2 linked regions of the Lonchura striata genome follow. The protein of the gene in region 2 purifies or fractionates together with the protein of the main gene of each other region. This does not show direct contact. Links are inferred from orthologs where the notes say so. Each region holds a gene or a part of one and is shown on either strand. Other genes may lie near its edges.

Region 1 (15,375 bases), on a different chromosome or scaffold from region 2:
TGCAGGGCTACCGTTTGAATTGAGAAAATCCCAGTGCAATTTGAGAGACTGTAATACTTTCTTTTGGATCATTACTCCTTCTTTACTCCTCTGGTAGCAAGAACTGCCAACATGTCTGGATTTCCATTGAAAAGGGATGCTGTATGAAAGGCAAAGGTAGGCTTAATTGATTACTGAAAGCCCATGGAAGTGGTACAAAGAGAAGAAGCGGGAAGGTGAATGCATCAGAAACACAAATCTTCTACTACCCTTTATTCCTGCCTTCAGAAAAAAAGTGACCATTAAAAACTGTGGTGATTTTGTGATCCATAGAAAGCGAGTTTGTTGGCCTGCAGCCAGTTGCCAGTGAAGAGATCCACATCAAACAGCTTTCAACACAGTGGGTGACTTATGATCTGAAGTCACAGAAGTTTGTTGCCAGATTCACTTGTAGCTTTAAACCAATACAGATTTATTGGGAGGTTACCAAGGAAATTTTACCCTTCTTGTAACCCCTCTCCCACTCCACTGGTGTAGTGCTAGCAATTCCCTTGTTCCCGGAGGGGATAACATCTCATCCCCTTTCTGGCCCCTCAACACTAGCCACAAGCAGTGGGGAGTTGTAGAGAAAGCACAGCGTGAGTCAGGACTGTGAGTATGCATTCTTCTGCATTTGGCCCTCCACTGTGGGATCTCCTCAAGGCCATTGAGTTGTCAGAAAGGTGGGTGCCTGACATAGAGTTGTGAAGGGAGTGCTATGTCCCTGATATTAACATCTGACCTGCATCTGTCCCTGGTTTCAGTGGAGAAGACAAGCAAAATCCAATCACTTCTAGACAAGGTTTGTGGTGGAAGCATGTCATCAAGACACTGTGCCACTGCTACTAAGAAAGTATTGCCTTTTGAGTTCTAAGTAATACAACTAGGAAACACAGGATGACAAGAAGGCGAGACCATTCATTCTGATATTACTCACAGTTCTTTGCTTCTCAGATCCTGAAAAAGAAAGCAATTTTAAATTGCCATTAACTTATTTTTTATGCATTTCCTTAATTTTACTAAATAGAAAGCACTTTCATTTTTGTACTTGTGTGTACTGGAATGAATTAGGACAAATCCTTTATGGATTTTTAGATTTAGAATAGCTTATACACCATCAGAATGTTAGGAGGAATTTATTTAGTGTTCTTTTCAGTGCAGTAGTTTGATTTAATCAGCATGAAGTCTTGCCCACATGTAAATGCAGTCACTGACCCCTGAAGCACAGAGCCAAACACCGATAGCCTGACTCACTCCAGTGGGCAAGATTCAGATTTCACATAAAGACCAGAGAGTAGAACTATCCATACAGAGCTTGAAATCAACTCATTGGCATAAATGGATTTATTTGCTTCAGGAAGAAAACCAGGATTTACTTTTACTGCACAGACCTGATAATGAGAATACTTTTCATATGTAGGCTTTCTTCTGGGTGAGAAGTCCCATTCAAGTCAGCATTGGCAAGCCCCAGCTATTTACTCTCTATAGTTGGCATTGCCAGCATCAACATTTTTGTTTCAGCTCCACATCAAAATTCATGTGGGTGTAAAGCTTTCCCAGACACAGAGCATGAGCACATGATCCTCAACATTAATGAGGGTATTGATTAAGCTCTGCTGCACATATATGTGCTAAAGACTGTGAGTCTAAGCACCAATTTTAGCTTGGCAGCAATGGCTGTTCCACTGATACACTGCCAGTCAGTTTGCTTATATCTTTCCTTAAAAATATTCCTTTGGGCTGGAGTGTGCTCTGCTTGCTTTTGGCTCAAAGGTGACTGAAGGAAATGATAGGGGCTGCTTCCAAGTTACAGGAGCCCAAAAGGAATGCAGTTCCTCCTGTACTTGCCCTGCTGTCTTGGTGTTTGTGAACTGGCAGGGGAGTGAAATGAATGACAGTGCCCTCTCAAAGGTGCCCAGAGAAGGATTCTTATCAAATGCTGTCTCCTGCCAAGTCTCACAAACACTGCCAGCCTGCAATGATGGGGAGGAGCATTTGGCAACAAGGCCCTAGGCTTTCGACATCAAACTAGGAAGAAGGGATGAAGTGTCACTAGCAGGGATGGGGCCACTTTTTTTTCCTGTATGACAGATGGCCCACAGAAATTTTGGGGAAGTGTATAGGTGCACTTACCATGCTGGTGAAGCTGTGTTGTAAGGTTTGCTTTTCCTTATTCAGTATCTGATTGAGCTACTGTGAGAGTTCCCATTGCCAAGAAAGGATGTGTAAAAAACCACAGTAGGAAAGAGCAGCAGCAGGAGTGCATTAAGAATGTTTGCTGATGGGCAGTGCATGGCAGGTGGAGAAGACAGTAGGCCTCTTGTTCTTCAGAGGTGTCAGTGTTTGACACACCCACTGGGAAGTGTGAACAAAATGTAAGTAAGCTTGTTTCCTTTCTCTCTCACACTCAAAGACATTTACTATGTGCATTTGTCAGCCAAGTAGGAATCCTGCTTATACCCTAAATGACACAATCAATCTTGCAGTGTGCAAGTTTCATCTCAGGACAAGGAGAGAAAAGTGTTAGAACACACAAGAGGATTCGGAAGCATCATATTTGTTGTCCACGTCTACTTAGATACTCTCATGAAGCCTGGGAGCTCCTACACAGATATCCTGCTCCTAAGTGAATAAAATTAGTTCTATTGCTCCCCTCCTGTGCAATGGCACTGACTTATTTTTGTCCCTTCCTATGTGTTTTTCTCATGTCAAAATTACATTAGCTTTTGGACAGCTGCTTTCTTTATTGACAAAGTCAGCTTCTTTTCAGGGAACAGCACTGCAAGGGACATTGACTACTAGATAACTGGAGCTGCATGAGAAGGTAACACAAGCTGCAGAGCTTAGAATACTGTGTATGAGGAAGGAAATTGGATATTTGCCTTACAGAGAGAGGCACAAAATAGGAATGTAAAAGGAACAAAAGAAACATGAAAGCTGTCACTATTTCCAGAAAGAGGGAAGAAAATTGGGAAAGAGGTCTCTCATTCACTATGGACTTGAGGAAGTTGTCTTTGCAAGGAGTGAGTTGGAATAGATGTGAGGATAGTGTGGAGCTTGAAGAAACACAGGTGATACAAGAGGAATGCAGAGCAGGAAATGAATGTTCCTGTTTCAGTGGGGAAATTCTGGATAGACTTAGGGTGGGTAATTGGATGAACAAGAGTGATGTATTTGAAACAGGAATTAACATGAAATAATGATCATTAGGAAAGGAAGGAGCTGGATACAAGCGAAGCAAAAGGAAAACCTGTGAAGAAGCACATTTGGAGTAGTGAAGAGGTATATCACTTTAATAAGTATCCTAATTACACTGTGATTCATTACTATTTTGAAATATTCCAGATTGCAGTGATCAGTGATCTGGTTGCCTCATTTCCTTCTAGCCAAGCAATGTGGACACCTTGCCTATCTCTGTTGGCTTCTGGTCTTGTTGGCAGCATGAATAAGTAACAGGAACCATACTCCTGGAATACTTAATTTCATTGTGCCACTAACAAGTGTTATTTTAACCATAATTTTTCTTTTTTCTATTCTACTTTTCTCTATCTTCTTAGAGGCATTACTGGAAAAAGTTCATTATTGTCTATAAAATTATTTTATTAAGTTGCTATGGTGATACAATTGATATTGAATTCTTACTATAGTCACAGAAAACCAACATTGGGTAAATCTTTGCCGAACTCTTTGAACATGGTTTTGAAATTAATACATTGGAGTTAAACTGGCACAGTTCTACTAGGCTGGGCAAAATCAGGCTACTCAAAAAGTGCATCACTAACTGTAGATTTCTGCATATATTCAGGGAGTGGCCTGGTTCTAGCTGTGCAGCTGCTCTGGAGTTCTCTGTTGCCAGAGGTGCACAAGCAATGGACCGTATAGTGGCCACAGACATGGACAAATGTCATAGAGAGCTACACTGGGGGAGCTGGTGTTTTCTATTTCCTGCAGTCTATTCTACATCTTATGTCTACTCAAACAGATGCTGAGTTCCTGGAGCGGACATCAAAACCACCTTCCCTGAAACCTGGGGAAAATACTATAACCCTTAAGAGCAAATGAAACCGCAGTGATCCTTTAAATAGGTCATGTGGAACATCTGGATTGTAACTTATTTCCAAATAATTTATACAACAGTGATAGGGCATTTCCCAACCTTACATAGGTGGCTTTGCTACCTTTGCTTTTCCACCCCATTGCCTCCTTGCTCCATCACATTTCCCTTCAGTTGTTCCATCTCTATTTCAAACTTATTCTTTCTTTTCAACTTTTCTTCACTAGACCCCTTAGCTTCCCAAATTATGGTTGATAGGGTTTTTTTGTTGTTGTTAGCAGATATGGCCTCAAATCCTTGGTAATGAGTCTGCAACAGTTTATCAGCATATGTTCAGCTTTGTTCCTCACTAGTTTTCTGGCTCAGATGGGCTGATTTCTAATAGACCTGAAATTCAGCCAAAACACCTGGCTTAGATCTGAAGCTAATTAGCAGTGCCCCCAAACCATGGATCTCCTAGTAGTGCTTCCATGAAGCAAGGAGGAAGAGCATGGCTGCCAGCAGCACTGGGAACACCAAATCACCCTGGTGGAATGCAGGCATTACAGTGTGACAGGCACCTCACCGAGTGGAAATGACATTGTTGCAAGAAAATGATATACATAATAAATTACAGAGGTCATGCTGAGGCTAGGTTTTCAGTACTATACAATACACATGGGAAGAAAAATATCTGATAGCTTGTTTGTCCTTCCAGGATAGCTGAATATCAGCTAAATACCATCAATATCGGAGAGCTTGTGAATGCATGATACAGCATTTTCACAAGAGTTAGATCCAGATTCTGGAAGAACTTTTCACAAGAGAAAAGAATGTTGTTTAGGTTTACTGCTTCACTAAACATAGGACTCCTGTGTCTGGAGTAGTTTCTCTTTAGATATGTACTCCTTCTCCTTCCTCTTTTCATTCTCAAGCACACCCAGGCACACAAACAAAAACAAATGAGTTATAAGCTAATCAAACTTGTTTTCTCCAGGTTGGAAAGGAAAAGAGATAATATTTTGATTTCAATTTCCAAATCTTTGGGAGGTGCTCAGATATTATCTATCATAGTGCTTCAAGCTTCTTGCTGCAATGGCATTGTCTCCCAAGCAATTAAAAACCAACAAATAATTATCAAAATACATTTTGCTATCAGTTCTTTCATCCATTTCTGCTTATGCACAAGCAGAATTTTTAACTGTGGAGTAAAACTGTGAGTTTTCTGTGAACAAGAACAGCTGTAAAAAAGGCAAAATTTATTTTTAGTTTTGGACCTTTAAGATCGAGGTCACTTTTTGTTCCCTTAGGAATCAGATATTTTGTCCAAATCTGGTCTCAGTAACTCCTAGAGTCACAAGCTTCCTCTGTTTGGATAGTTTCACTGCTCTTGGAGAAAGTGACAGGCATCATCTAAGAACAACTTGATGGAGCCTAACTTACTCAGGCCAATTCAATGGAATTTCTCCAGATAGCAGCTTGAAATGGAATGTTGAAATCCAGGCCCTAGCTGAAGTTAGTATTAAAAATACCAATGTGTGTTGCTCTATCAGTAGCCTATAGCAGCCCCTGTGCTTCCACAGTGTGAAGCTTTATGCTAAAGCTGTCTTAAGCCAGAGTCTGCTGCTGTATACATCAGTGATTTATTTCTCCAGCATGGATGTCCCCATGTCCTCAGCATGGGAGTCCTAAAGCAGGTCAGGAGGAGCCAAGAAGTGCAAATACAATATCCTCAAAGACCTTGGCATTATAAAGAAAGCAAATTCTACATCTTGCTAGCCTTCCTTACACACACACAAGTGGCACTATTTGGGTTCAGCTTTCACCAGATGTTCTTCTTCTGACACCAATTTTCCTTATACATTATAAACAGATAATCCTACTTACACATCCTGTCAGGCAGACAGAGCTGAGTGTCATTTGTATACTCCTTCTCTTTAAACTGCCCAATAAATATTTCAGTGGCTGCATGGATGGGGGACACTTACAAGACAGCTTCTCAGGAGTCTCTTCTGGGAGAGGAAGAACTTTGTGGAATCCTGTGCTATTCACTGCTGTGTGTTTGGGGAGGAGGAGAAGAGTCCTGCTGCAAGGGGCAATGGAGGGCGCAGATAGCTGGAGGCTGGGGCGGCGCTTGGGCAGCGGGAGCTAAGGATGCCCAGCAGCCGCTCCTCACCGTCTGTCGCTGGGATACGCGTAGCCGGGTTTGCAGCTGTAGGTACCAGGCTGCGAGAAGGCACCTTAAGGAAGTTTCTGATTTTTATGAACAAAACCCAAGTAACTTCGCACAAATCCCAGGCTGCCAAGGGCAGAGCCACCGAGTAAGTTCAAGAAGCTGGCTAGCAGAACAGTGGGAGGCAAATCGCGAAAGATCTGAAAACCTCCAGTATTTTTATCCTAGCCATGATGTGCATTCGAGAAGTTTTTGGGGAGCTTACAAATAAAAACAACTCCGAAGAGAAGCCCGATCGCAGCAACCAGCCGGCCCCGAAACCTTGGCTGCCTAAGAACAGATTATTTTTTTCCCTTTGAGCTTTCCCTAGCCTTAGGTGACACCAAAGGAGCTTCCACAAAACCTTTGCAGGCTGAGAAATACAAAATTACTTCCTTCAGGGGCGGAGACACCCCCCACTCCCCCACTCGCTCCACGGGGACTTTACCCGGCTCTGAACCCGAACAGGGGCGCACCGAATCTCCCGAGCGGAGATCCCAGAGGCACGGGAGTCTCCGCAGAGGGAAGGGCGGCCAGGGGCTGAGTGGGCGGCCAGGGGTGAGGAGGCTGCCCAGGGGCTGAGGAGGCTGCCCGGGGCTGAGGAGGCTGCCCGGGGCTGAGGGGGCTGCCCGGGGGTGAGGGGGCTGCCCGGGGGTGAGGGGGCTGCCCGGGGCTGAGGGGGCTGCCCGGGGGTGAGGAGGCTGCCCAGGGGCTGAGGAGGCTGCCCGGGGCTGAGGAGGCTGCCCGGGGGTGAGGGGGCTGCCCGGGGGTGAGGAGGCTGCCCAGGGGCTGAGGGGGCTGCCAAGGGGCTGAGGGGGCTGCCCGGGGGTGAGGGGGCTGCCCGGGGCTGAGGGGGCTGCCCGGGGGCGCCGCGGGAAGCGCTCCCTGCCTGAGGAGCGGCTCCCGCCCCCTGCGCGCTCCCGCGGCGCTGAGGGGGGCGGCGCGTGCCGCGCGGGCGGGGCGGCGGGCGGTCACGTGACGCGGGAGAGGCCCGGCAAGGCCCGAGGAGGAGCTCGGCCGCCGCCATTTTCCTGCGGCGCCCAGTGCGTGTCCCTGGCCCCGGCCGGGCGGGCGCGCAGGGGGAGGGGACGGCGGCCGGGGGAGGGGGGCGGGAGGAGGAGGAGGAGGAGGAGGAGGAGGAGGGGTCCCTGCTCGGGTGACAGGTCCGTCCCTGAGGGCGGAGCGGGGGCCGCCTGCGGCACGGCGGGGTGAGGAGCCCGCGCAGCTCCATCCCCCCGGCGACTCCTCCCGTCCCGGCCCCTGAGGAGGGAGCGGAGCCGCGCTCGGTTCCAGCGCCGCCAGCGAACCCGCCATGTCCGGCCAAAGCCTCACCGACCGCATCACGGCGGCGCAGCACAGCGTGACCGGCTCGGCCGTCTCGAAAACCGTGTGCAAGGCCACGACCCACGAGGTGATGGGCCCCAAGAAGAAGCACCTGGACTGTGAGTACCGGCGGCAGCGGCGGCCTGAGGGATCTCCCCGAGCGTCCCGCCGAGGAGCGGGATTGCCCGGCCTGCCCCGGGGTCCGCTGTGGGGCTGCTGCCCATCCCACCGGCCTCGTGGGGACGGGAAGCCTCCTCAGGCGGAGGAGCTCGGGGTTTCAGCATAGGGCATAGCCTGAGGGCGGGGGCGTAGGGTCGGGGACGTGGCGATGGAGAGCTTGGGAGAGGCTGTTCAGTATATCTGCTCTCCAAAAGGGGCCTTGCCAGTCTTCTTTATGCATAGAGTCCCGGACAACGTGAGCTCCTGAAGGACAGGACCTGCCCCATACCCCTTTCTTAGGGGGAGAGAGAGAACCACGGAGGCCAGGCAGAGGAATGGGCTGCAATTTCCTCACTAATTGGTCTCATTTGCGTCGTGCTAGGGCAGCACTCCCCCATTCTCTAGAGGAGGTGCAGGAGTTTCAGGAAGGAATAGCTCATCAGTTATCTTAATTATTTTCCAGGTAATCTACCAGGAGGGAAAAAAAAAAAAAAAAAAAACAACCTTCTTTAACAATCATGTAAATCTTCCATGGAGAAAAATATGTGAAACGACTGAGGGGAAAATCTCTCTGTGAGGATGTTCTTAGTCTTCTTTTTAGTCTGTCTCATTCACTTGGGAAGATGAATCTAAGGGGACTTCTTTAGAACTTCAGTAAAGCTGGATCCAATAGTCTTAGCATACCATACAGGGTCTAGCCATTTTTCAGCTTCTATTAAGAACAGATCAAAGGTGGAAAGGCTCAAAAGGTTTTCTATCACCTGTGATTATGAAGAGAATGATGAGCATCAAAGTTCACACTAGCGTTTCTTCCACTAAGCTGTGAAGTTGCAGGACTGAGGAAGTTATTGGTCTGAAAATCTGATTGTCTTGCATCTGTTTATTCTAGGCCTTTTAAGGATGGCCCCCTCTGCCCCCTCCCTTTCACTTTCCCAAATACATATTAAAGATATTGGTGAGATCTGTGTGTCTATGCCTTCTATATGTGTGCTTGCTCCCTTCCTCACACCCACGTCTGCAGGAGAAGGTTGAGTCTTCATGTGTCTTGAGTTTGTGCCTCCTGAATTGTTCTGTATCCAAATGAAAACACCAGATGATAGTAGTAGGATTAATTGTACTGTGGTTCTTTCTTCTTTCCACCAAAATGTGTGCATGTTAAAGGTTTAAGAAATTCTTGTTCTGCAAGTACCTGGGAGCAAAGTAATTAATTTTTTACGGTAGCCTCAGAATTCATTTTTTAGCTGCCTCTCTCTTTTTTGGTATTCCCTCATTCATTACATCTTTTGGTGGAAGATGATAGTAACTGAGTGGTCTTGTTAGATTTGGTTAACTAAGGGAGTCAGAACACTGAGGAAATCTTTGGGCTTTGAGTAACTTCTTGGCAGGTAGAGAAAACACCTTGTCATATGGCGTATGTATGAAATCGTGATGTTACTGGATTTCACACACAAGTGAGGCTTTCTAGAAAACAAACTTTGCCAGGTTTAGCCTGTAGTTGTGCTAAAAGTACAGTTTCAATACTAAGGCTTTTAGGAGCTGAATTATTTTGTGGTATAAGCTTTGTTGAAAAGAATATGAAGATGGTCAGAAAACTGCTCTTCCGGTGGGGATGTGTGTGTGTGTAAAAGGGTGATATTCTGAACAGGGCTGCTGGGAGACAACCTAATGGAGACCTCCAGGGTGCTGCTGCAGAAGAGTGCCTGGACTTCCTTAGAAAGCTATCTGGTAGTTGCTGGATAAGAAGAGCAATTCTGTGTTTCCTTTTTCTACTCCAGACTGTCAGGAGTCTGTTAGTTTCTGCCTCTCTCTGAGAATATTTATCAAAGCCAAGCAAACTTGATTTTTTAAGTAGTCCCTCTTTTTAGTGGCTAAAATAGATCATGGCTAGATGTTTTGTACCCTAATATGTTTGTTAAAAGTCTCTGTTCTGGCATCAGGAAATGACACACAGTCTTGTATTTTGAACTTTTTCTTTGTTCATACCCTTTATGGTTGTATGCTTTAAAATAAATATTTTTTACACAAGCTGTGACTCAAGCCCCACTTCTCAACTGTTTGTACATATCTTCCTTTCACAACAAACAGTTTAACTTGGTAAGGCCTATGAAGTGACGGCTCATTGTAAATTACAATTAATATACCTGTCTTCATAGGCAACATGCTGCCTTAATATTTTTCTGATTATTGCTTATTGTGATAATACAGGTAAACTTGCTATAGGTTGTGTCCTGGTGAGTGGATAAGTTGAGTTTTCCCATACTGCATTAGTTTTGTAGCATGTTCTGTGACCATGACATACATTCTTGTTAGTTGATTTCTTGTACAGATCTCAAGATTTCCGAGTCCTCTTACTGACATTCTTTCTTCATTAGGCTTGAGCTATCACAAACAGATTTAACTAGCTCAGCCTCAAGTTAACTCATAAAAATGGAGGGAAGTCTGACATAGGAATATAAGTTCATGAGTATCTGTTCTTATTTATCTTGCTCCTGATAGTGTGTGGAGTTTGAAGTGCTCTCCATCCTAGATTACCTCTCTTTTGCTCAGCGATGGTTATCTTTATCAAGGAAGTTAAAAAGGAATTTTTTTCCTTAGCTCATGGTGGTTAAAATGTAATATACTTCAAAGAATGTTTTCTCTCCCATTACAAAGCTTAGTTGTTTGGTTTGAGGGAGAAAGACTTCTAATTTACAAGTGGATATGGCTTGTGATAGGTAGTAACATCATCAAGGCTATATACTTGAATCCATGATACTGTTTTTTTCTTCAGTTTTGAAGGTCCAGCCTTAGAACTTAGAGCTGGGATAAGAATTCTGTTTGGTAGTCTGAATGCTGCTTTTGTTGTGATGGATTACTTGTTTTACAGAAATCAAGTTTAGTAGTCTTGGAACCCTCGAAGAATAGTTCATTAATTTCTTTTATGGAAAACCTAGTTTCACTAGGACTTTGTCCCAGTTTTTACACCTATCTTAGCAGTGGGAGCTCTAAACTGCTTTGTGGTTTTAACTTGTATGTGGAGATTGGTACAACCCTTTCTTTCTCGTTAGTTTTTTTGTCCTCACATTGAGTGTTGGATAGTGATGCTAAGAACAAGTGCTTTAGGTTGTTCGAGTATAAATGGTTCTGGGAGACTTGTTGCTAGATTTCACTCCTTCTTTTCATGATTCTGAGAGGATGGTGTGCTTGTGTTTGTGTGGTGGATAATTAATATTAGGAATACCTGAAGTTAATGCCTAGTAAATTTCACTGGGTTGGTTTTGTGAAGCTGTTGTAGCAGCGATTGCTCAGTAGCTTAAAAATGTTTGTGTACATGTGTGTGTTGTGGAGTGGACTTAAAACAGCTTTGTTGTGATAGACATTTAGGGTTGGCCTCTTCAATGAGTGTGGCATAGTAGCCCTATCTGCTTGTAGCTAATGGAGTAGCCCTCTTTAAATGAGAATGTGGACGGATGACTTGGAAGGAAGTTGTGATGCTGTAATTACCCATTCTGAACAGGAAATATCTCTATAATTAAGCCAGAGTGTAATTTCCTTGATTTCTTATTGTGAAAGAAAATGTGTATTTTTAAGGAAGACAGTAAGCCAGAACCCTGCCCTGTGTTGGGTAGGTGTCTGTGAGAAGCTGTGTAAGTGAAAGTAAACTTGAAGGAGCTTGTTGGGAACTTGATTCCTAATACACTAATGTTAGCTGCTTTGGTTTTGTCTAGAGGCTACTACTAGGATAGAGAAAGGCCCAGCTAAAGACTTGCTCCATGTCTGTGCTGAGGACAGGTTCTGTTTCAAGCTGAGATGGTATAAAGAGGGTAACTTGTAGAACTGAGGGACAAGGATCATTGCTTTTCCCTGGATCACCCGAGATTTGTAGAAAAGCTGGGAAAACCACCATTGTAATGGTTCACTTGCCTTTACATGCTGAAGTGTAACTGGGTGATGAGGTGAATTAACTCCTAGTTCTGTGGATACTTTTGTGTTCTCCAGTAGAAACAGAAACACATTCCTTTTATGGTATTTTTGTGCTTCAACAAACTCATGTTTTGTCTCTGGTTTTGGCAGAATCACCTGAAGTTTCTTGCAGCTTTGCTTCCCTTTCTGTAATTGACTTAAATTTCTGGAGGCAATCCATTATTATTTTTGCTTAGAAATATTCTTTGTAACTGTAATTATTTCAAATACAGATAATTGCATTATTGCAACTTTCTTTTGAAGTATTCAGTTTTCTCTCTGAGTCTTTTCTCTGATTCCTTCATAGTTTCTTTCTTTAGCCAACTTTCTTATTTTTTACTGGAATTCCTTTGGAATATTTGCTCATGGCTTTTAGTAGAGTATGAGAACTATCATACTCCTCCTGTCTGCCAGAGGGACAATTTTCTACTACAGCTGCTCATTTGCAGAAAGACTAGCTATGTAGTTGTGCAGCTGTTGTTTTATTTTACTTAGCCTGAAGCAATATTCTGCTTCAGATGAAGTAAGAGGCAGGAGCTAAGGAGGAGAAGCTGTAGGACACCTGCAATCAGCTTCCTGTGAATCTTCATACCACTATTGTTTCCCAGTAGCAGTGATTATTCAGGTCTCATGTAACTTTGGGCTATAGCCCTAGTTGAGATTTTTTTTTAACGATATTTTTTTTTTAATGGTGCTGTCGTCTCTTGCATTTACGAAAAGGGACGCTTAGGAGAAGCACAGACATGGAGCAAGTCTTTTGCAGTTCACCCTGTGACCTAATGATCTATTTCAGTCTTCAGTTCCTAATCTTAAAAACAGTTTTTGATTTGTAGATGTGAAAGTTTTAATTTGTCCCTAATGACTTGTCTCACAAAGTAATGGTAATTTGCATAATAATACAAGAGATGACTTATCCAATATGGAATTTAAAGCTTCCTGACTTTTGCATTTGTTGCCTTATGTAAAGTACATGATTTGTTGATGATGGTAGAATTCTGGGAAAGTTCACTTAGAAAACGTTACTGATGTCTCACTCCTTCTGGAAAATGCAACATTATTTCTGAAGCTGAGACTCCTTTTGTATTTGAAAGCTTGATTTATTAAACAGCTTTCTTAAATTGAAATTTCTAACTACTTTTAAAACAATTCCAGTCAAAACATCTCGCACATCAATTAATGCTTTAAAAATAACACATAGTAGCTTTACTGCTGGTGGGATATGTCCACTTCTTTGTAAACTGAAGTAGCTGTTTCTCAAGCATGAGACTAGAAATCAGGTAAGAATTGTAAACGACTTGTGTATAAAGTGTTGAAGCCCTCTACTGGGGCAATCGTTTAATATTTTCACGTAGTTTGCAATACAAGTTTAAAGCAATGGTCTTAAGTATGTGTTCTTTTGAGTAGTTTAGCAAACTCTTCTGCTGCAAACATTGCCTTGTGTTCATGAGTATATGAATTTAACCATTTAGATTTTCTGTGGGTGAAAGTATTAACTCTGGGAGTACTTTCAATTTGGAGCTTAATGTTATCTTGCAAAGACTTGGGTATGAGAGATTTTATTACTGATTGTATCTGCAGCTGATTAAAAGTAACCAACAAGTAAGTAACAAAAAAGAATGCAATCAAGTGGAAAGAAGCTTGTGTTGCTATAAAATTATCTGGCTTGGTGTTTTCCTTGCTCTTCTGGCCATTTTCTCCATTATGAAGTATGATCATGAGTGGGCAGATTATGAACGCTTAGTAACTTCAAAGTGACTGTATCCTTCAAAACTTGAAGAAATATTGTTCTACTTTGTATTTCACCCCTAGTTTATATCAGAGCTTTATCAATTGGCTGGTAGTTTCTAAACTTAAAAATAATTTTAGTAAATTCAGTGCTACAGTCTGGTAGTCACAAATCTCTTAATGGTAAATCCAAGTTATGAGTAATATGTCACAAATTGGGTTTTGGGATTTTAGAAATTAGGAACTAAGCTGTATTTAACTGTGAAAATAACTTAATGAAGCTAAGCATTTCATACAGATTTAGCAAATACACTGGATTCTCTGATTGTGACTAAAAAATCTCCTGTGCTATTTTGCTAAAGGAGCTTTATTAAAGTAATGCTTATCTGGATAATTTGCAATATTATACAAGGGTAAATCAGGCTTTTATAAGTATTACCTCAGAAGAGATGGTGTAAATGAACAAGATCTACATCAAAATTTGACTTGGGCAAGTTAATTCACAGAGTGAAGCATAAGAGAATTTACTGGAGTGAACAGTGGTAGCATAAAGAAAAATCTTGAGATTTTTGTGCAGGTCATGACATAAGTAGTCTAAATTAAAATAAATTTTAAAACCTCCCAAAGTAGGGATTATACTCATTCTGAGCTCTCCTATGTACTTTCATTCATACCGATGTTAATTTATTCAGTTCTCCTCATCAACTCCTTTTTTCCTTTTCTCCTGAAGAGACACTTTTGAAATCTTTACTTGCTGTCCTTTATTGCTTCTTCCCAAGCAAGCAGACCTTCAGTCACAACATTCGTATGCTCCAGCAGCGGTGCCATTCTAGCAGGAGCAATCCTTTCACTGATGTGGGAAGTGAGAAGTTTGCATGGGTTGAAACTGCTCTGGTATTTCACATATTTACTCTAAATATGGTGCTTGCAGTAGCTCAGCTATTCCATTTGCTGGCTGTGTGTTATGACATCAACAAAGTGCCTGTATTGTTTGTAACCTTTCTTGATTTTTTTTTTCCTACTCAGTGACACTATTCTAGATCTGACCTTATTTTTTATGTGAAGTGTAAAACCTTGTTTGAACTGTTGTGATGGTTAAGTCTACATACAGAGAATAGTGGTGTTATTTGATCATGTTTAATTCTGTCCCCTTTTCGATTTGCATAAAGACATTGGTGTTTACATCAACCCAGAAATGAAGAATTGCTTTGGGAACCACAACTGCATGAGGCTGCAATACATAATCAAGTAAATACTCCTAACAGATTGATTTTTTTGAATAGTTAATTTATTAAAATTTAAAGCACAAAATGTGAATCCTTAATAACACTGTTTCCTAGTTAAATAATTAGTGTAGAAAAAATTTTCCGTGTTAACAACTTGTAGAAAAGGACATTCTTTTATCCATTTACAAAAAGGTGATAATGAGGTTCATATCATTCCTTAATTACTTTTGTTCCAAAAAAAAAGAAAAATAAACCCAACAAAACTAAACCAACCCACTGGTATTCATCTGCACAGTGTAAGTTTCTGAAGTTGCCATAGTCAGCTAGATTTCTGACTCAAAGTGTGTAGCATGCAATTTTTTAAATTAAACTCAGTCTACAAAGATATAGACAGAGGTCAGCATGCTTTAAATACATTTTTTTTATTAAAAAAAAAAGTCTTTGCCTTCACCTGGTAGTAAATCTACTCAGAGCAGCTCTGGTTGTCTGTGACTTGTTACTCTGTCTGCTAGATGAGAAGGTTGAATGTCTTGGCTATCAAAAGGTAGATATTGGTGTCTTCATGTTCCTTGGTGTTCTTAAGAGCTGCTTGTAGCTGCTGTTGGTAGTGTTTGGGCTTTTCTGGGGTGGATGCTGACCTCTAAAGTGACCTGAAGTGTTTCTGTACCTCTCTTTTGCTGTTCAAGTGTGCACTTATAGTCTTGGGTTTAGTATTGTTATGTAGCATGTCCCTCTCT
Region 2 (14,952 bases):
CACAACATTCCTCCTGGGACTTGGATCTGGATCCTCCAGTTTTCCATCGCTGCTTTCAGAGTGCTGATGATGTAGCTTGTGTTTAGGGAAGGGTGCTGGCACCTCCCTGTCATCCCAGCAAATATTTTTGCCATGAGTTCCTGAGTTCTGGAACAGCCAACAAGGAGGCTGTTAACAGTCAAATGCCTTCCCCAATGGCAGAGGGGATTGTGAAATCCCAGAGTGCAGGAATCATTTCTGTGCTCTGACTTGGTGACTTCATTTATGTTGGGCCAACGTTTGCTGCCTTTGGATTTTTATCTCAATTCTCATTTTACAGATGGTGCATCAGCAGGTACTTGTTGAGTCTGCCTGGGCTGGACTAAACCACCCATTCCTGAGCCACTTCCCTGCCTCAAAATCAAACCTGTGTGTGTTTTCCAGGACAGGCCCTGCTCATCTCCTCACATCCCTGTTCCAGGCTGCTTGTTCCCTCACACCTCCACAGAACCTTTCCTTGTCAGAAACACAGTTGTGAGCTTTTCTCTCTTAAAAGAGCCTGTTTTATCCCAGTGTTTTATGGGAGAAGTGAAATGGGACACAGCAGACACTCATGAGCTGGTAACTCTCATGAGGGCTTTTTCCTAGATTGAATGTCAGTTAAAAATACACCTATTTTTAACAGTCTTGTCAGGTATGGAATGCATTGTCACACCAAAATAAATATCTAAAGAGCATCTACTGAAATGCCATCAATTCAAAAAGGATATTTGTTATAAAATACACATTTTTTTTTCATTATTTGCCAGTCCAGGCAGGGCTAGCAGTCTGCTTCTGTTGTGGTGATGAATATGGTTTGCCCCTACATTTAAAAATAAATAAACTCGAGCCTCTTTGGGAAAGCTCTCCTGTGATCTCTGAACTGAGATGGTGACTGTAAAACACTGTGAAATTCCCTTGAAAGGTACACCTACAAATATTAATTTGCCTAATGGTTGATTAGAACCAGAAAGGGATTTGAGGGTGAGAGGAGAGCGAGTAGCAGAGTATTGGGAAGAGCAAAGTTTTCCCTTTGTGTGCTCCTTGCAAGGTTAAATACACACTCAAGCACATGGTCATGGAGCTGGTTGAGACTGGTTGAATGTCAAACCCTTGTGCTCAGAGGATGAAGCTGATCTAGGGAAGCTGTTAAACATGGCAATGCTCTGAGGAACAGGGTAACCTCCCAGGCTTCTTGGTTTCCTTGGCTCCGGGCCCAAAGTTATTTATGTTGTGCCATGATTTTCCCTTGAAAGTTTAAAAAGGATGGTGATGCTGCTTCTGCCAATGTCTTGATTTTTTTTTTTTAACAGTGAAGAAATCGTGAATCTGAATTCCCTCTGCTTGACTTCTCCTCCCTTGACATCCACTAAGACCAACATGACCCAAAGTTCTGGGAAATTCTCTGATGAAGATTCCCCTCTGGACATCAGTGACCTGGCAGTGACTAAACCAGCAAAGAGATACTGCATGAACACAGTCAGTATCTTATTGCACAGTGTCCTTGACTGATTTTGAGGGGAATTATGAGGAATTAAGACTGATGATAGGAATGCAAATGCCTCCAGGCATGGAAGAACTGGGTACTCAAATGATGAGACAGCAGGCTTATGGCAAAGGTGATAACATGCATTTTTTCAAAATAGCTCCTTGTTGCCGCAGTAGGTCTTGGACAACATAAATATGAGTTTTTTTAAAGTGAATAAGACTTTGGAATGAAAAGCTTGAGGAAAATGGATGCTGGCTAATTGGTAATTCCACTAAATATCTGGGTACACGTGGATGCAGTTATCAGAAGCTATTGGACATTGTTTCTTTCCTGTTCTACTTGGTTTTCCCTCTGTCTCATGACTTTATTCTCTCCTTTTATCCCTTAAGTACTTCTCTTGTGAGTGGTTAATATACCCACATGTGGAAATCTGTTTAAAATGGCATTAGGAAAGAGCTCTGTGTTTATTAGGAACACCAGCAGTTTGAGTCTGTTACTTTGCAGTATTTTGAACAGAAACATTTCAAAATGCTGATTCTTGGTGTGTTATAATTCTTTGAAATCCTCCAAAAAAAAAAAAAAAAAGATCCTTCCATAACTTTGGCTCCTTCTCTGTGTCCTGCAGGGCACCAGTTCCCTGTTCTGGAAGCTGGAGCGCTCGTTGGCCCAGTCCCGACAGATGCTGACTGATCTGGAGCTCAGCCTTCTCCACACAAGCATTCCCAAGACCAACAACATGAGTAAGGTACAGATTGCTCTCCCAGAACAAGGCTGAGGCCTCAGGAATACTGATTGGGAACATCCTTTCCCTTATGCTTGGCTTGCATTGCATTAGCAAAGCGTGAGGAGGATATTGGTTGTGAAGAGACAATTCCTGCTTGCCTTAGTGCTTGAATTTTTTATAGGATTCTGTTTGGCTGCTCAAGGTCATGACAGGATTTGACTCCTGCTTGTGTCTGAACAGATGGAAGGCAGAAGTCATTTTGGGGCAAGCTGCAGGAGGTCTAGAAAAAAGTGAACACTGATCTTTTTTGACTTGAAGCAAATTAGATGATTTCTCAGGCTCAGCACACACTCACTGCTTTGCTGTCCCAGAGACTCGCAGTCAGAACTGGTTTATTATTTTATTCATGGAAAGGAGGGCAGTGTAGGGAATATATAGGATACTTTGGGTGTGAATTTAAACCAGAAACTCAGCTTAAATAAAGGCAGAGTTCTTGTGTGTTAGTAGTTTTAGCTCCTTCATAGCAGGATCAGAGAATATATTCAGTGGTCAAAGAAAAGAACCTGTATGTAGCTGTCATGGCAGTTTATTTTATGAGCACAAGTGCTGATAAAGTTCCTGTTGAGTATTTGGGCAGCACAAGTAATCAGAGAAAGGGTCACTTGTTTAGTGGGTAAATATCCATAAGAATTTCTACCTTGTTTGACAAGGACATTGTACCTTTTGTCCCTAGCAATGAGCACACTTGTACTGGGGTATATCCCAAAGGGAGGATTTAGGCTCCTGGTTTCAGAGCAGTGCTGAACCCTCATCTTCTTCCTCACACATTTCACCTCCCTCTAAAAAGTTGCACTTCTTTTAGCCTTGGATGAACCTGACCAGAACAACGTTGCTGTAAGGAACAGACAAAGCCATTTTTATAACATTCAGAACCATAAACCCTTCGCTATGCTGGGCCTCACTGTAAAGGTTGTGTGCCAGCGTTTGCATAAACTGAAAGGATATTCTGTTCAGAAGTTCCTCTGCAGGATTTCATTCAGTGGCAAAGACAGCAGCAGTTTAGTCTTTTGCAAAGGCTCCTGAGTAGGAGGATTCCTGAAAAGCTCCCTGCACACAGTGCTTGCTTGTGGCTCTTGCCCAGCCCCATCAGCTGTCTGGCTCCTGCTCACTGCTTGGCACGTCACAGCACAGCTCAGCTCCTCCGTCTGCCCATGACTCTGCTTTAGGATCTGATGCTGCATTTTTGAGCTTGGAAATTGGCTTCTCCTTCAGTTTTAGTGGATATAAAATGAAGGAAACTCCTGTGTAGTGGCAGGAGCAAATCCTGAGCCACATTTGTGGAATCTTTGATCTACTTTCAGAGAAGTTCCGGGCAAAAACTCGTCAAGCATGTTTGAGTTAATCTATGTATAACCAGGCCAGCTAACCTGTGCTTAAAACCAGGCTTACCTGGGGCTGTTTTAAACTGAGCTTTAGAACAGAATAAATATGTGATACAGCCCTTAAAATTTAATCAGGGGGAAGTGGTACATGTTGGATTCTGTGCCCTGCTGGGACAGGGAGGAGAAGGGGGAATTAAGAGCTGTACCCCTGCTGCTCACCAGCTTGAACCTGGCAGCTCTGGAAATTTTATTCTCTGAGTCCTTTGATTTCCATGTAGTATTTTTACATTACAATAGAAACAACAGAACTTGCAGGAACTCTTCACAGAAGCCAGTTACCTGCTGCAGAAGAAAGAGATGCTAAGCTTCCTTTTTTTTTCTCTGTGATGTTCCCTGAGCATGGAAGTGTTTTCAGCTTGATCTTTTTTTGTTTGCTTCCCTCTTTATAAATGCATCTGCAATATTAATACACTTTATGGATTTTTGAGATGGGCCTGGCACAGGATTCTAAGTGCATTTCCAATAAAAGTCCTGTGAGTACTGTAACAGCAAACAGATATTAAGTCAGCAAGTAGTTCCTTTAGTCAAACAATTAAACTCTTGTGAAGTGTGTTCCTCATCCTTGGGGCAGTCAGATCTCACAGCTTCATTCCCCAGTACCTGTGCTCTCCTTATTGTAGTTAAAACCCTTCTGTGTGTTACAGATAACAGGATCAAGAATGTGAACATTGCTGAATGAGAGATTGGGAAGTTTTTTCCAGTGCCAAGGCCAAGGGCTGTTTTAGGATACTGTTCTTGGGCTCAGAGCCCCAAAAATAAAATGTATTGAATAGAGCTGTTTCAGAATATCCAAAGCAGCCTTGCCCACTGCAGATTGTTTTTTTTCTTTCTGAGTCAGGAAATTTCTCACTCTCTGATTATTTGTTCTCCTATTGTGGATTGGATGCTTGCAGTAGGCACCACCTTGTCTGGTTCTGAGGACAAAAGAGTAACCAGATATGGTTAAAATCCTGAACAGCACACAAAACTGAATAAGAACCAGCAACAATGAGGAGAAAAACTGGCAAAAAAAGAGAAACCTCTCAGTGCTGACACAGCCCAGGCTCGTGCCTGCAAAGGGAGGTTACCCCAGAGCCAGCTGGGCTGTGACACTGTGTGACTCCAGTTGTGGATCAGCCTCCAGCCCATGGGGAGCTGCTGCTCAGTTCTCTCTTGGGTATTCCAGCTGCAGTCCCTGAGCTGTTTGTGCCCTGGGGAGTCAGGCTGGCTGGCTGCACTCATGTTCTGCTGGTTCTGCATTAAGCCTGGAGTCACTGAGACTCCTCTGTGAGCCCGTGGGGACTGTGGAGTGCAGCTGATGGGGCACCTGGGGGAGATGGATGCTGAGCAGCTCGAGTGCCAAACTTTCCTCTGCTGTAACGTTCCTGTGCACAGAGAACTCTTCCTTTCCTGAAAAGAGCCCTGAGGTAAAAGCAGACAGAGGTTTTATAGGTTGGAGCCAGCACTGTGACTTGCATCCTGAAACCACTGATGTTACAAAGCTTCAGGAGCAAATCCCCAAAAGTGCTGAGCCCCGTGCTGAGGCAGCAGAGTGGGGAGAGCACGCTGAGCCTACAGAAATAATCACATTTGCCTCAAGTGAGAAAGAGCTGGTGGAACAAACATGCCACAATCCACTGCAGATCCATGACAAGAATGAGTGGTTCTCCAAGTCACTGGCTAATACATAATTTTCATTTTCTTTCTGTGTTAAAAAGCAACGAATCACTGTGATCAGTTAGATCTGAAGCAGAGCAGGCTCAGAAATAACCAAACATTTGTGCAGTTTCATATACAGAAGTGATTGAATTGATTTTGGTTGTGTTTGTTTGGTTTTAAATTGCTTTGAAACTCATTTGAGGGCAGGTGCACTGGCAAACATTAGGGCAATTTCCTCCCTAGCTGCCAGTAATTTAGCTATTCTCATCAGTCAGTTGTTTTGCCTCTAAGAGAGAGGTTGGAGGGGTGGGGGGAGTTGAAGAACTCAGGAGGAGAGAAGTTAGGAAAAGGCTATTTTCTTTTTTGGACACAGCAGCATGTGCCAGTGCTCATAAACGGTGACTCAGTGGCTGGCCTGGGGCACAAAGATCACTCCTTTCCTCAAAGCCAACTGGAAAGGTTTTATTTCCCAGCACCCCAGTGGTGGCCCTGAGACTGTTGCCTTTCTGTGAAGTACTTTGTTTACCTTTTCCTCTTTATAGTTTTACTCCATGTTCTTACTCTGTTTGCAGTGTGAAAATTTGTGTAATAAATTCACGTAAGTGTGATTGCTTCAGATATTTCAGAGGAAATGTTCCTGCTTTTTTCATTAAAATCTTTTCCTTTTTCTTCAGAGGAAAAAGTGTTTCCAACACAGAGGTAATACTGAGGACTGAAGATCATTGACCCAGCAGCTACAACAGAAAGTTACCTCATATTTTTCCTGTGGTTCCTCCTGAGTGTTTGAAAGACTCACAAGTGGCAAGAAGATGTGACTCTGCAAGAATGCATTTTATCTTGAAATAAAACACAGAATTACACCAAGATTAACAAAGCTATTTTTACAGCTGAGAGCTCAGGTTAAACACTAGCTTATTTTTTAAGAATCTGAAGTGTGTAATTGTTACAACATAGGAACTATTTTTCTTTTTTTTTTTTTATGGTGGCTCAGAAATATTTATAGACTATGACACAGCCAAGCAATCTCCTTTTTTTTTTTTAGCACATTGTTTTTGTTCTGGATTTCTTGCCTTGTAGAGAGAGATGAATAATGTTTATAGGAAGTTCCTAATTAGTGTTGTAAGCAGGAACTGCCTCCGATGTTGCTGAAATGGGAGAACTGTCACCCTCAAGGTGGGCAGAACATCTTTCCACACTCAGGAGCTGGTTTTCCAACAAAAGTCTATGGGATCAGGTGTGTATGGCCTCTGTTTGCACTGTAGAGGTAGCCAAGTATGATGTAACCTTTTTTTAGCATTTAAACTGGATTTATGTTTGCTGATTGGGCAAGATGTGCTGTTATCACAATTTGAACTTCTTTTTTAATGTAGAGATCAAATAATCTGATAAAGGTGATACTTTGCTGTGTCTCTCTTGCCCATTTAACACATTTAGCACTTGATTTCTGACATTTCTCAGCAGACATGAGTGGGCTGCCCAGTCCTGTGTAGATTTGGGAGCACTTTGGGACACCAGTGCCCCTCCCACAGCCCTGTGCCAGCATTTTTCCTGCTGGGGGGAGCCAAGGGTGGGAGTTTCTGCTCCATCCAGTGCCACCAATTATTGCTGAGAAACACAACATTCCGTGGAGTCTCCTTGTTAACTCTTTCATTTCATTTTCTGCTTTCTCTTTAATTACTCCAGTGACAGCCTTTCCTGCAGGTATTAATGGCCCTAGAATTAGGTGGCCAGTTCTGATGAGAGCTGCTGTTCTCCAGACTCTTTCCCTGCCTGCTCACCAGCATTACCCACAGAGGGAAGCTCAGCTGCTCCAGCTCTTTCCAAGTTTCCTCAAGCCTTTACAGTGCATTTATTCCTCTACCTGCATAGAACCTTCTCAGGCTCCATCCTCGCAATCTCCTGCTGTGGGTATGACAAGAATTCCCCCTAAAAAGCCAGTGATGACAATGCCATGATGCTCACCCTGAAGCTGTCCAGCAGCTACACAGAGAAATTGGTGCAACTTCCAAGCAGCAGCTGCATTTAAATGGTTTTGAGGTTATTGGATCAACTCACTGAGTTTAAACCCCTGGAGAGTTTAAAATGATGACTTTAAGATCAATATAGAAAACTGAGCTCAAGCGATGCATCAAGGATCTGCAGAGCCTTAGGATTTTGTGTCGGGGCTGCCCTGGATTTGTAGAATGGGAAGAAGGGGAATAACTGTTAATTTATTCAGCACTAAGTGACTTAAAGCCCAACTACATTATTGACCACACTCTGGTGCTCAAATGGAAACGCTTCAAACTCGGTGCCTTAATTCTGGAAGCAGCTCAAATACTCCAGGGAGCCCTTTGCTATTGTATCCTTGGTTTGAATTATTATTTAAAGACAACAAAGCTCCTGTTCAGCCACGGCCTTTCCGCAGGGTGGGTGCGAGCTCCGGTCATTGACTTTGGTAACGGGAATCGGTGCTGGAGCTCCGGTGCGAGTGCAGTGGGAGAGGGGTGAAATGGGCGCTGAGAAGGGACGGTCGCGCTGGCGGTGACCGCTGTTCCTGGTGCTTCCTGAGCTGGGCAAGCACCTCGGTGCCTGGTGCCTCGGGGGGCTGCTAAGGGACGTGTCCCTCGCTCCGTGTCCCCTCTCCGTGTTCGTGTCCCCTCCCCGTGTCCCCTCTCTGCCCGTGTCCCCTCTCCGTGTCCGTGTCCCCTCCCCGTGTCTCCTCTCTGTCCGTGTCCCCTCCCCGTGTCCCCTCTCCGTGTCCGTGTCCCTTCCCCGTGTCTGCTCTCCGTGTCCCCTCTCTGTCCGTGTCCCCTCTCCGTGTCCGTGTCCCTTCCCCGTGTCTGCTCTCCGTGTCCCCTCTCTGTCCGTGTCCCCTCTCCGTGTCCGTGTCCCTTCCCCGTGTCTGCTCTCCGTGTCCCCTCTCTGTCCGTGTCCCCTCTCCGTGTCCCCTCTCCGTGTCCCCTCCCCGTGTCCCCTCTCTGCCCGTGTCCCCTCTCTGTGTCCGTGTCCCCTCTCTGTCCGTGTCCCCTCTCCGTGTCCCTTCCCCGTGTCCGTGTCCCCTCCCCGTGTCCCCTCTCTGTCCGTGTCCCCTCCCCGTGTCCGTGTCCCCTCCCCGTGTCCGTGTCCCCTCCCCGTGTCCGTGTCCCCTCTCTGTCCGTGTCCCCTCCCCGTGTCCCCTCTCCGTGTCCTCTCTCTGTCCGTGTCTCCTCTCTCTGCCCGTGTCCCCTCTCTGCCCGTGTCCCCCCGGGGCTCTCGGTCCCACCTGCCCGCGGGGGGAGCGGCGCTGCAGTTCCGAGCGTGGCCGCTGGGGGCGCGGCGGCGCGCGGCGCAGTGCGCGGCCGGGAGGGGCGGGGGCGGGCGGCGCCGGTCGCTCCTGCCCGGAGCGCGGAGCCCCGAGCGCGGGCACCGGAGCCTGGATACCGGAGCCTGGCTACCGGAGCGGGGAGCTCCCAGCGCGGCCCACCATGAACAGCATCAAGAGCGTGCCGGCGCGGGTGCTGAGCCGCCGCGGCGGGCACAGCCTGGAGGCGGAGCGGGAACAGTTCGACAAGAGCCAGGCAAGGACAGCGGGAGGGGGCGGCGGGGCCGCGGGACCGGCCGCGGTTACGGTCCCGGTTTTAGTCCCGGTCCTGTTCCCGGCTCGGGGACGGGGCAGGCCGGCCCTTTCCGCGGGGCATCGCGTCGGGGCGCGCTGAGCGCGGGGGTTTCTCGGGCGATGGGATGAGACGGGATGGGGGGCGCAGGTCCCGGCCGCGCTCCGGGGAAGCCCCGGTGGGGCAGCGGGGCCGCCGCACCTCTGCCCGTCCCCGTGTCCGCCCGTCCGTCCCCGGTGCCGCCGCCGCGCGCTCCCCCTCCCCCACCTGCGCCGCCGCTTCCTCCCGGCGCGGCCGCGGGACGGTCCCGCGTGGGCACCCGCCCGTCCCGCCGCCCCGCGCCCGTCCCCGGGCCGCGGCCCCGCCGTGCGCCGCCGCTCCCGCGGGCAGCCGGGCCCCGCGCACCCCGCGCCTCCCGGGCCTTACCGCAGGTCAACACGGCCGGCAGCACACGGGGAAAGTTTTGCGGTGCTGGCGGCAGCGCGGCCGAGCCCGGGGACTCCGCGGCAGCCCCGCGCCCCGGGAATGGGCATCTCCGCATCCCTGCCTAGCCCCGGCCCCACCGGCACCGGGGGATGTTTCGCACCGGAGTTGGATCCACCCCTACCCCGCGGCTCCGGGTCACCCGCGGGTCACCCTGCGGGGATCGGGGTGTTTGGACCCACGGACGGTGGCAGAGTGGAAACAAAGCCCAAAGGCGTTCGTGCTCCATCGTGTCCGGCTTGGCGGGGGTGTCCGTGCTCCTGTAGACCCCACGGGGTGGGCAATGCTCGGGCACTGATGGGGCCGGCATATGGCTGGGGGGAAACGAACTACTCAGACAGCGTGGGCAGGGATGGGCAGAGGGATGGACAGAGTGACGGGCTCGCTGCTGCCCCAGCAAAAATAACAGTGCCCTGCCGCATGCCTCCTCTGACCCCTCTGCTTTTGCAGGCTGTGCATTCATCGCAGATGTTTTCCCCTCTGCCCCTTTGCTTTGCGGTTCCTTCCTCAGGCCCTGGGCTGGTTTGGCCCCGGAGAGCGCCAGTGAAGGCAGGTGGGAATTTCAGGCCTCGCAGGGTCACGGTGCTGGGTAGGAAACGGAGCTTTTGCCGTGTCTGGGGAGCAACACGAGAAAACCGGCAATTCCGGTTCCCTCTGGACGCGTCTCCTTCAGTCGGCCCGCTGGGCACCGCTGGTGAACGCTGCCCCGTGCCCAGCACGAACGGGGCCCCGCTCCCCCCGGCCTTCCAGGGCACTTGGGGCTTTTCACTGGGATTTGTGCTCTGGAGATCCGCGCAGTCACAGGGATGCTGTGAGCGGAGATGTGGACACGGAAAAGAGGTGGTTGCTCGCTGGCTGATGGTCACATTCCCTGCCCAGAACTGCTAAAAACTGTCCTAAAGGAGCTTTATCCTGGTGTGGTTTCCTGTAGTGGTGCTTCGGTGAGAGCAGAACTGTTCAGTGTCAGAACGTGGGTATTGATCTGCCTTTTACCTCTAATTATAGCAGCTGCCCAGTTGGCCGCCAGTCACCTCTGTGTCACGGGGGTGCTGGTGGCATGTCCCCTCCTTGTCTCTGTGTCACGGGGGTGCTGGTGGCACGTCCCCTCCTTGTCTCTGTGTCACGGGGGTGCTGGTGGCACGTCCCCTCCTTGTCTCTGTGTCACAGGGGTGCTGCTGGCACGTCACCTCCTTGTCTCTGTGTCACAGGGGTGCTGCTGGCACATCCCCTCTGTTGCCTGAGGATTCTGTACCAGAGTCCAGAGCCCCATCACCTTTTCCCCTGTGAGGGCTCAGGTGATGTCTGTGGTTACAGACAGGAGTTGCTGGCCCTGCTGTGATCCCAGGTCCTTGTGGGTGACGTGAAGGTCACCTGCTTTCCCTGAAAATGCTTTTCCATATTTTGTGTCAGGGTGATTTAATGTTCCCCTCGGAGAAGCCGTGCATGGGAAGTAGGAAATCATCCCACAGCAGGCGCTTGCTCGGCAGCCTTGCAGGAGGAAAAACTTGCCCGTTTTTGCTTTTCTTAAAGAAAAAGGTTAAAAATCCAATGAGCTCTGGAACCTGCAGGATTGCATTGTGTGTGACTGCCAAGTGGTGTTTTCCTGGTGTAATTTGGAAAGGAGCAGCATTAGGAAGGGAACTCTGGAGTTCATAGCTCAGCTGTTCTGACAGCTCTCGGACTGCCTGGCCAGGGAGGTTTCCAGCTGCCAAATAATCCCGTGCTGGAACCCGGCATCCACTGCCCGGAGGGGATTGGGCCCCGGTGGGATGCCGGGGCTCTGGGGAGCCGTGGGCGGGAGGATCAGCCCTAATTAAAAGCAGCCAGGAATGAAAGGGTGGATGTTAAACTGCGCTCCTTCATTTGGGCGCTTTGATCCCGGCTTTAGTCAGCGGCTTGGTACGTGCGGGCTGTGAGCAAAGCTGGGGCTGCAGCCCTGTGGGATCCCACAGCCCACGGCCCGGCAGGTTTTGGGCTTGGCTCCTCACCCAGTTGGCCTGCCAGTGGTGGGGAACAGTCCACAGGTTGCATCAAAGTTTTGGCCAGGCTGATTGTGCACCTGCAGTGACAGCCAGGACCTGCCCATCTCCGGACGTGCCAGCGGTGTCCCAAGAGGTTGGGTCAAGGGTGAATCTCCCCGTTTTGGAGCCATCCTCCACAGCCTGGCTTTGCCAGACAGCCAGCAGGAGCATCCTGTCAGCACACGTGTGCCAGGCTGCAGCATTGCCCCATGCTGGTGCCACCAATCCCATTTTCCTGGATCTCCTGGCAAGCTTGATGCTTGGAGGCAGGGAAAGCACACGTGGGCTGCCCAGAGGGACTGGCATTGGTTTGGTGCCACCATGGTTTTTTTGGGACCATGCTGGACCCATGCTTGTGGTGGTGCTGTGGGTGGGCTGGGGCTGACCCTGCATGTCCATGTGCTGGACATGAAATGGCTCAATGAAACTTCTGCACTGAATCCCCAAGGATGAAACCAACCTCTCCAGCAGCTCCTGGGCTGAATTTTGGCTGGTCAGGCTATCAGTGAGACTAAGGGCAGTAAATGCAATAAAACCACCACTGCCACTGGGAATTACAGCTCTGTTCTGGGACAGACCAGCAGGGTCTCAGCTCAATGAGCAGCTGAGGTCCTGTCCCTGGAGATAGGGGACAACATTTCCTTTCCTGGGGGTCTGCCCATCTCACACTTTGACCCTTCTGGCTGCGCCTCCTCCAACCCCCGTGGGGTTCAGGTTCCATGGATGGGTTGGGATGAGCGTGATGGGCTGGGACAGGCCTGTCTTAGGGCAGGCAGTAAAACTTCCAGTTTGGGAGGTGTGTCTGCCCTTCTCCCTCTATGCAAAACACCTCAGGAAAGATGCTGTAACTCCTTCAGCAGCTCTTCACTATAAATGCATTTCCAAATCCTTCCTTGCCTGGTCCAGGATAAACCATCCTTTCTGTCAGCATCCCGTGGGAGGTGCTGGCATCCCTGAGGACCTGTGGCACATCTCTCTGGCCAAGCTGCCATCGAGGGCACAGCCTCTGCCAGCTCCAGGCTTTTGGGTGGCTGTGAGGGCACTTTTGGAGAGGCAGCTGTGCTGCAAGTGCCTGTTCCTGGGCACTCCAGGCTCGTTAACCTTTGGGGATAAGAGGATTACAGCAAGTCACCGGCTTAACTCCACTGCTGCTTTACGGCCCCACATGGCGGGGTAACACCGGGACTCTCCTGGTGCAGGAAAGGCAAAGCAGCTGGACTCAGCCTTTTGGGACAGGTTCACTCTTTGGGAACATTCAGAGTTTTGCTGCTGTCATGGTCAGTTTGTGGGTAAGCTGTTCTGGACTCTTTTGGGGTGAGTTTGGTGCATGGACACCTTTGACGTTGTCTCTTCGGTGTTGGGTTCCTCCTGCATAAGTCAGGAGCACTCGATAACTCGGGGTCAGGTTCCTCCTCCTACAGGAAAGCACTTCCATTTCAGAGGTGTCCCTGGACAAGCAGCCTTGTGGAAGCAGGTGCTTTCCTGGGCAGGTAGATAGGATTTTTATGAGGTTTTAGGGCTGTGGAGCTGCAGGGAGGGACCGAGTTGCTCTTCCAGCACAAGTGCTGCCAGCGAGGCGCCTTCCTGCCTTCCCAGCTGGGACCTTTTTCCTCTGCTGGTGACAGAGGGCTCATGGACACAGGCACAGCCCAAGCACTCCTGCGAGGGTGAAGCAGCTCAGCTGAGTCTGAGGAGGAGGAAAAAGATCCTCATCAAATACAGCAACTTGGATTTGCAGCCCATCAACACGTGGGGGATGCAACCGACCCCACTCTGGGGTCATCTTCTGGAATAAATTCCTAATTTAAAGTCTGCTGTGATCAAACACATCAAAACATAGATAATCCTCTTCTGATAATCACATTGCTCTGGATTTTTGCTCCATCAAGATGGGCATTGAGGCTGCCACTCCCTTCTTGCTTGGGGGCTGCTTTTCCCCATGTGCTGTTTGCACACAGCAACATCCTCAGAAGAACCCAAACCACTCCCCCGTGGTTCAAAGGCTCCTTGTGATTACACAAACAACCCTGGAATTTGGCATCTCACTATTGTGCTTTAATGTTCCCCAGGCACGGCGCTGAGTTCAGGCTGCAAAAATGCAAAAATTGGTTTCCTGGGACAGGGACAGCCGGGAGCACCAACAGCAGTGGTCAGATCCTGCTGGGGATGGGGGCTTTAATGGATGTTTTGTTTGTGGATAAAAAGGCCTATTCTGATGTGTTAAAAATGACTTTGAGGTGACAAATGTGTTCTAAAATTCAGGGTATTCCCCAGGATCATTAGCATGTCAGGGTGTGGGGTAGCCATGAGGATCACACCGTGTCTGACAGCCACTCTCCCCTCCTCTTGCAGGCCATCAGCATCAGCAAAGCCATAAACACACAGGAAGCACCAGTGAAGGAGAAACATGCCCGCCGTATCCTTTTCCTTGGCTCCCAGGACAGCACAGAGGAGTTTGGGATTTGGGGGTGTCACCCCTGATGCTGGAGCCACAGGAGATTTGGGAGACAAAGATCCGTGCTGGGGGCTGGCATCACGGAAGTTCATCCATCAGTGAAAAGGCAGACGAGCAGTGCAATAAAATTGCATTTCTTTGGCAGTAAAATGCAGAGAGCCCCATTGTGCCCTCAGCAGGGGGAGGTGCACCCAAAAATGACAACTGGGGGTTTTGTTTGGGGGTGCAGCGCTGTGCCGGTGATCCCTGTGCTCATGGGGCACCCAGCGTCCCCTTTTCAGTGAAAGCTGAACAGGAACAGTCCCCAGCCTGTCCCCTGCTCTGTGTGTGTCCAGTTGGCCTTGACTGCCCTGGAAGGGATCATCCTGGGCACACACCACGAGAAGGGAGCGTTCACCTTCTGGTCCTACGCCATCGGGCTGCCCCTGCCCAGCAGTGCCATCCTCAGCTGGAAGTTCTGCCACGTCCTGCACAAGGTCCTGCGTGATGGCCACCCCAACGTGAGTGTCCCCTCTGTGTGTCCCTCCTGCTTCGTTCCCAGGGGGAAGTTCTGGCTCTTGCCAGCATCCCTCGGCACAGGGAGTGGGATCCCTTCCCTACCCCAGCCACCTTCCCCAGGCGCTCTGTTGTCTCACACCTTTGAAACTCCCCTGTGTAAATCCCCAACCTTTGGGTGCTGAGGGAAGTCTGGAACTTCTCCCAGAGCTGGAGTGATGTAAGGGGCTGGATCCCTCCTCTTCCCCAGCATCAGGGCAGAAAACCAGCCCCACTGTGCCACATCCTTCCCTTTTGTGTCGCCAGGTTCTCCAGGACTGCCAGAGGTACCGCAGCAACATCCGAGAGACGGGAGACCTGTGGGTGAGTGGGGCACAGTGCAGGCTTGTGCCTCCCAAGGGGTGTGGAGATGGTTGCTGAGGAACACTGTGAGCACAGAGAGGGTGAAGCGCTGCCTGAAACAGCCTGCTGTCTCTTTGGGTGATGGTTGTGTGCATGGTGAAGCCACAGGCTTGTGTGGGATCTGCTGGGTGTGGTCACCTCACTCTGGATTCTCCATCTCCCCTGTGTCTCTGCAGGGCCATTTGCACGACAGGTACGGGCAGCTGGTGA

Evidence for each region.
Region 1: the proteins of HIP1R (region 2) and PICALM fractionate together in Homo sapiens (co-fractionation; 3 studies listed by BioGRID and IntAct, with this or other methods). This does not show direct contact. The link is inferred for Lonchura striata from reciprocal best matches to the Homo sapiens genes HIP1R and PICALM.

The regions. Positions count from the first base shown.
Region 1 is NC_134604.1:34,889,670-34,905,044, forward strand, and holds the start of PICALM (phosphatidylinositol-binding clathrin assembly protein), read left to right. Parts: upstream 1-7,395; 5' UTR 7,396-7,575; coding exon 7,576-7,705; intron 7,706-15,375. UniProt on the Homo sapiens protein: Cytoplasmic adapter protein that plays a critical role in clathrin-mediated endocytosis which is important in processes such as internalization of cell receptors, synaptic transmission or removal of apoptotic cells.
Region 2 is NC_134620.1:12,761,418-12,776,369, forward strand, and holds the start of HIP1R (huntingtin-interacting protein 1-related protein), read left to right. Parts: upstream 1-8,635; 5' UTR 8,636-8,757; coding exon 8,758-8,850; intron 8,851-13,742; coding exon 13,743-13,806; intron 13,807-14,202; coding exon 14,203-14,345; intron 14,346-14,646; coding exon 14,647-14,703; intron 14,704-14,918; coding exon 14,919-14,952. UniProt on the Homo sapiens protein: Component of clathrin-coated pits and vesicles, that may link the endocytic machinery to the actin cytoskeleton. Binds 3-phosphoinositides (via ENTH domain).